Linked DNA regions of Bombyx mori. The protein of the gene in region 2 interacts with the protein of the main gene of each other region in a pairwise test. Links are inferred from orthologs where the notes say so. Each region holds a gene or a part of one and is shown on either strand. Other genes may lie near its edges.

Region 1 (3,760 bases), on a different chromosome or scaffold from region 2:
TATCCCGTTTTCGCGAATGCAAAAAATCCAGAATACCAGGCTTTTTAAAATTGCTTGTGGTTTTTTCTGGCTGTTCCGATTATAAAGCGAGAGTTGAAAATTCTTCAAGAAGATTCCCCAGTTCACGATGCACCATCTCTTTTGCAGACAACATATGCTCTGGTTGGCCAAAGCCATTCCTGAGTGTTGGATGCAGATATGTGGATATTTGGGTCACGGTCCTCATTTCGTACGCTAAAAGTCTACCAACCATATTGTGGTTATTGCACTGTAGTTTTTAAATGTAATGCACGGTAATTTGATTCTGAAACACGGTTTTTTTATATTTGTAGCTTGTATATTTGATCTGGTAGCACTGGTAGCACTGGTAGCACAACTGTGAATGTAAAGCGTAAAAAACCGGTATTCTTAAATAAAAACCGGTATTTATCGGTATGTATAAAAACCGGTTTTTCTCCGGTTTTCTTCGAACCGGTTTACATCCCTAACTTGGACTACATTTTGTAATTTTACGTTATATTTGGTATAGTCTTCTCGGCTGCAGAACATTAATATTGTGTATCAAATACTTCATATATTTCCGATCAAGATATTTTTCGCACAAAGGTAATGCGTTAAGTAACAATTTTTTTTACAAAAGAGTTCGGAAACATTTAATCGTAATGCAATTTTAGTTTTGAGTTATTTTGCTAAAATAATACGCAGGGGCTTTGTTCCGTCTGAAGTTAGCCAATGATTGGTTGCGTACGTTTAGAATAAACTCGCCACTCAGGTTTCACGGCTCACAAGATTCTAAAATATGTTAGTAAATTTCAAACAATAATTATAACTTAAGCAAATTCTCATAACTGCGTGCTATTACACCTTTTTTTACTTTAAAGTCAAGTTGGTCATGACTTAATATTACTAAATACAAATATTTGACAAAACAATAATGGTATGTACTGGCAATAATGGTATGTACTGGTTTTAGAACGCACAGTAGAATGAGTGAGATATGAAGTTTGAGCTGAAGTTGTGAGCAAAACGAATCTGTTCGCGAACAGTGTTTCGCAATATAACTTTTATAGCAAATTAGAATACAATCAAAAAAATGTTATCCAGCCTCAGGACTGGAGTACAGGGCTTGGTAGGTAAAATTTCACTCACAATTATACATAAACTTTGGATATAACAGGGTTATATAATTATTGTTTTGACGTTTGTGATACCTATTTTTCTACTGAAAAAGTGTCGTTTTTGATTTCAGTGGCGTATATCCTCTAGGTCAATTCAGACCACAGCATCAAGGCAACATGACAGTCTATTTGTCCACCGAGACACTCCTGAGGACAACCCGAGCATTCCCTTTGAGTTCTCGCAGGCCAATCAAAAGGTGTGCCTTCATTTGTTATTGCTGGATCTGAATTTGAATCTTCTGACAATTGAAAATAAAAATAAAAGACTATTTTTAGTATTCTAATAAATAGTTATAATTTTTTCTAAGTTAAATAGAATTAGATAAAAAAAGGTGTTCCAATTTTAAAAAATTCTAAAATTTTTTTTCTTGTTAATTATATTGTCTTAGTTCAAATAAAAACTTAACAAAACTTGAAGAAATCATTCAAATCTGAATTCAATAATATTGCCATCTTAATAATGCCATGTACCATTATTTCACAAAAGAATTTAACCATTGATATTGTGACTTGGAGACACATTTTCAGATAAGTGCTACACAATGCCATAGCTATAGGTACTGCTTAAGCACATAACGGATGGAACGTCTGACATCTGACAAAAATATTAAAAATAAAAATAAAATAGTATGTTTTTTTGAATTCAAATGTATCAATCAATATTAATTTTTGTTTTCCAGAGAGTAGAGGCTTTGTTGGCCATTTACCCTGAAGGTCACAAGCGAGGTGCCATGATTCCTTTACTGGATCTGGCACAACGACAAAGTGGAGGCTGGCTACCTATCTCAGCTATGCACAAGGTGGCTGAGATCTTAAATCTTCCAAAAATGAGAGTTTATGAAGTAGCTACATTTTACACAATGTTCATAAGGTAAATATTAGCTATTAAATGCTATATTGGAACGAAGTTCCTTACCTTGGGACGATGCGGAGGGGTAAGCTAACCAGGAAAAAACGTCCATAACATAAGATTTTTATTAGTAATGCACACAGTGTACGATGTAACTTTGTAAAAACGTATAAAAAATAATATATCTTTTTAACATTCATTGACCACGATCTCAGAGAGTTCGTTCGCGCAATACACTAACTCTTATGGAAACAGCCGTGAATGAAGTGTACCATAATAAGTTCGCACGTTACTGAATGACCGTGGGTTGTTGCGAAACCTCCAGTTTTATTTTCTTTATACCTCGAATAGAACTTAAAATAAATATTTTTATAATAAGGAACTTCGTTCTTATCCGGTGTCCCACGACACTACATATCTTTTTTATCTACTATTTAAATATTATATGTTCATAGACAATTATTTTTCTTTGCTATCCTCGATTTAATACTTTTCTTCAGTTCTATTCGTATGGTGTCCTCTGTTTAAGCATTAACTAATAGGCCATAACTAGTTTAGTGATTATTTTTTTCATTGCTTAGCTTACATGTAAACAAGCTCACGGTACACCTGGTGTTAAGTGCTTTCTGAAGCCCTTAAAGATTAACAGCGTCAATTTTGTGATGTCTATGGGTTCATTAACATGAGGGGGGCCATGGTCTCAGTTACCTGTCCAAGCAATAAAAAAATTATCGGAATTATTAACTATTACAGACGACCAATTGGTAAATACCATGTTCAAGTATGTACGACTACTCCTTGCTGGCTTCGAGGCTCTGATGCCATATTGAATGCAATTAAACAGGAAACAAACTGTGAAGTTGGAGGCAACAGTCCTTGTGGCAAGTTTTCTGTTTCAGAGGTTCGTACCAAATTGTCATTTCTTTTGAAAGCATCAGCATAGTGACTTATACAACAACATGACACATAATAATACTAAGGTTAACAATAATTTTACATTAGATTGTTAAATATGTTATAAATACTTGAAAGCAGTAGAGAGAATACACAGTCCATGCACCACAGTCATTGCATGCCCATCATCAGATGCATATTAAATTTGAAAGCTTTGAATAGAAGAATATATTTGAAATTTTATATTAAATATCAATCTAATAAAATCGTTTTCCTAAGGAAATATTGTTATTTTTCATTAAAAAATAACACTAATTTGGCTTGGATTCTAGACTAAGAAAGATAGGACAGAATTGACTATGCAGATATGTATTTATTACTTAAAAATTTTTTTTTTTTTTTTATTGCTTAGATGGATGGACTAGCTCACAGCCCATCTGGTGTTAAGTGGTTACTGGAGCCCATAGACATCTACAACGTAAATGCGCCACCCACCTCGAGATATAAGTTCTAAGGTCTCAGTATAGTTACAACGGCTACTCCACCCTTCGAACCGAAACGCATTACTGCTTCACGGCGGAAATAGGCGGGGTGGTGGTACCTACCCGTGCGGACTTCCAAGAGGTCCTACCACCAGTGATTACGCAAATTATACTTTTGCGGGTTTGGTTTTTATTACACGATGTTATTCCTTCACCGTGGAAGTCAATCGTGAACACCAAATGAGCCTACATTAATGGTGTATTTGATTTTTCGTTTTAGTTTACCTAACATAAAGTATGTCCATAATACAAAATTCTAAGTACTGACATTTGTTAGCTTGTTACCTATGTCTATA
Region 2 (3,760 bases):
GAAATATAAGTGACCTCATCAAAAATAGTAATTTCTTTTCCTAGGGAATTAAAAACAAATTTTTCATGTCTACAATTAAAAATTATATATCCATTATACAAATCCATACTACAAAATATGTCTTGCTATCTCTGGGGAGCTGGCTTTGGTTTGGGCATCTTGGACAATAGCCCTTGTATTTCTTTTTTTTCATCATAACTTTTCCACATCTCATAAAGGTTAATGATAGCTCTCACAATTTCTTGGATCTGTAAATTTGAATTTTTAAATGAGTAGTTTCAGAAGTTTTGTAATACAACCACACAATAACCATATTTTTTTTAATTTTAATATATATTCAAGTATATTTCTCACTTTATCCATGTCAACATTTAGCTCAGCAAACCAAGGTTTGAGATTGTCTTTACCAAGCATCACACATGCTATTTGTAAGGCACCAATTGCAATCTGTAATTCAAAATATAATGGCAATGAAAAGTTTTATGAATAAAAAATGAAATGTGACTATTTGCATTACATAAATCATACCTGATAGGGTGGGTACAACAAACTAACATCTGTTCTCAAGGAATCGTTTACTATTCTCCAAGCGTATGTCAGAAGTTGATCATCTTGTCCTATGTCTTGGACAAAAAGTAGTAATGGTCTATATGGTTGGTATACAATTAAACAACAATCTAAATTTTCTAGTAAATAAAATTCACACTCCAGAATGTGATTTGTCCTGTACGGGAACTCTTGTTGTCCATAAGCATAACTAAACTTATTTTTTATAACTGTCTGGCAGGTTGTTATTAATCTGGAATTGGATATAACACCAAATTCTTCAACTTTAGATGCAAGAAATACGCATGTTGGTGCCAAAAGAAGTGGATCAATACACTTCAAAGAGTTCCTTGCATAAAATCTTTTAAAGTAAACTGTTGCAGTTGCGATTACTTGCTGACGAAGTTTAAGTTGTTCGCCTAAAACTTGAATTATACTAGCAAAAAAATTAAATACTTTTTGGTATTCTTCTTCTGATAAAATATTCAAATCAAACTGGCGATCGCGCCTTAGCTCTTGCTTATCGAGTATCCATTGTTGATGATGTGAGCTTTGCCAAAAATTTCCAGCCATTTCTTCAAAGGCAAAACACAATAATTATTAAAATTTGGTAAATTTTGATTTATCAAAAAAACATACTTTTTTTACAAATTTAACATTTTTCCATCCATTCCTATTCTATGAAACTTTTGAAACTGTGTATTTTAGTAATATGTATGCATAACCAGGGGGGTGCAACTCCCATACAAAGGAAAAGAACATTCAACTAGCGTCATCTTTAGGAACCGGCGAGGTCATTTTTGAAACGTTTTGGCCTTAATGATCTAATAAACTCACTAGATGGCAGGTACGAGTTCTGACTCAATAAAAAAGGTTAGCGTACTTTGAAGCAGTGCTTCCACTTTTAGGGAATTCTCCCTTTTTTAGGGAAAAATAGCTGATATTTTGGATGATAAAGACAATTTAAAAAATACCAGGATTTAGGATAGTTCGGGGTAAAAAGCAAAGCCTATACTAGTAACTGTTGTGAATTTTAAAATAAACGATAATTAAAGTAAAACAATGAACATTTTATTTTATGGAGAGAGAATGACATTAAGTCGAGTTGACAAGTAAAAGAATAAAACAGAGTTGTGTATAAAAACTATAAAGAAGGTTTGATTCAACAGTAACCCTCTAGTAAAGTAAATTATAGATTAAGCCACTGCTTTTTTCTTAGGGATTCCCCAGAATCCCAATAAGTATAATCCGCCAAACTTTTATTTACCTATTTTCGTTGATGTCACCAGAACTTACTTGTATTGTAATATACAGGTACTTCATGTACCATGAAAGATTATCATGGTAATTTCATTTACGAAAACCTTGTAATTGTCATTTCACTTTTGCTAGCAGTTCCTTCTTCAAAGACTGAGGTGGAAAGATAATTCAGTGTTCTCAAATGTAAAAACTGACAAAAGAAACAGGCTTTCTAATGAAACCCTGAACGGCTTGCTTCATAGAAAGTTCCCAACTTTGCCAGCAAACAATTGCTCAATTTTAGAACCGAACAGTGTTAGGTTGCGTGCAGCAAAAGAATATAAAAGCAATGCGTCGACTTCCTTGAAAATTCTAATCCTATATATCTATGATCTTCTGGGGGCGTTTATATTATATATACCTACATTAAATAATATGCTGTGGTTTATTTTCTGTATTTTATTTATACTTTCTATATAAAGGATTTATGAAAGTTGTCTAGGAAATTTTAGGGATAAATTCAAAAGAAACTAGGGTAAAATGTGTTTAAAAAAACGTAAGTGGAAACACTGCTTTGAAGTTTTCAAAATTCCAGGGCCGTAAAACAATCTCAAAAAAAAAAAAAAACGTTTTCAAAATGTCGTAACGATTTAATTTTTTAAATCGTTTTTTTTTTGTCTTGGTGTGAGTTATTTTACGTTGTAGTATTAATTTAGAGCATCTTTTAGCTTTATGAGAATATTAGACGATTAGACATTGAGAAACTCTGTTTTGAATTCTCTTTAGACATAACTTGGTTCCAATACTTTTTTCTTCGTTAGCGTTTCGTAAGCCTGTGTAACTATTTTCGTTTCTTACAGAAAGTTTATTATTAAAAATCAGCATGCCTCGAAGATCGAAAATGAAATGCTATTTCGGATGCCTTGATAACGGTGAGTTTACACTATTTTCCCGGTATATTATTTGCTAACAGAATTATTATTCATAATATAATTAAATGAATTAGCACCAACTAATGGTCCTTCCTATTTCTGCTGCCTAGCTATCATATATGTTAAGTTTGATCAAAACAGTCGGTGTTAAGTCTCGTACTATCACACACACACCTCAGATAATAAAATTGTCTCGAGTGGGTGGAAGTATTTATGTTTTGCAACTCAGCGTATTATATGCTTATTGTCAAGTGGGCCCGAACTAGTTTTTTGGAATGGAATAAACAGGAAAGCATGACTGATTGATAGTCATGCTTTCCTGTTTAAATAAAATACAGCACAATTGATCTCACATCCAAAGTTAAATGATGGCATTCACATTTTGTTTCCTGGTGTTTGATAACCAAGTTACACCAAGTGGCCTGTGACCACGTTCATCCTTCTACCCAATATAAAATAATGTTTTTATTTTTGTAGACAAAGGTTTGATAATGACAAAATTTTATGGAAAAATTATAAGGAGCACTAAAATGTCTGAAACATGAAAAGATTGATGCACTATATTTGAACCAGAACGTGTTATGTAATATATTAATTTGTAAGTATGATTACATTAACACTAAATTTTTCATGGTCGTATTTTTTCAATATTTGTTACATACTTAAGATACTTTGTTTCTCCGTTTCAGAAGAGAAACTGATTCAGCAAGGAATGTGAACTCACAAGGGATCTTAATTTTTTTTAAATATGTTTATAATTTATAAATTAATAATTGAAATAGTTCATAAGAACTAAATTGATGCCAATTTTGTTTTAAAATAGGTTGTTTAGTTCTTATAGTTATACTATTACGTTTTGAATAGTTGTAATTAGTAAGTTAGTAATATATGAAAATACTGATATAAATTTTTGTAAATGAGCTTTTGTAAATTCTACGAGAAGATGATTTTAATTAATGATCAAAAGTCAACGATCTTCAAAAGCATTATTTGCAATTATTTAGATTAACTGTGGAATATATTTGCTAAGTTGTGTTTTCTGT

The links.
Region 1: the proteins of cyclin-C (region 2) and NADH-ubiquinone reductase interact in binary tests that used the Homo sapiens proteins (3 or more experiments, as listed by UniProt). The link is inferred for Bombyx mori from reciprocal best matches to the Homo sapiens genes CCNC and NDUFV2.

What each region holds. Positions count from the first base shown.
Region 1 is NC_085117.1:7,841,652-7,845,411, reverse strand, and holds the start of NADH-ubiquinone reductase, read left to right. Parts: upstream 1-1,009; 5' UTR 1,010-1,093; coding exon 1,094-1,129; intron 1,130-1,249; coding exon 1,250-1,375; intron 1,376-1,858; coding exon 1,859-2,049; intron 2,050-2,781; coding exon 2,782-2,929; intron 2,930-3,760.
Region 2 is NC_085121.1:11,205,361-11,209,120, reverse strand, and holds the start of cyclin-C, read right to left. Parts: upstream 2,408-3,760; 5' UTR 1,120-2,407; coding exon 529-1,119; intron 448-528; coding exon 355-447; intron 249-354; coding exon 126-248; 3' UTR 1-125. UniProt on the Homo sapiens protein: Component of the Mediator complex, a coactivator involved in regulated gene transcription of nearly all RNA polymerase II-dependent genes.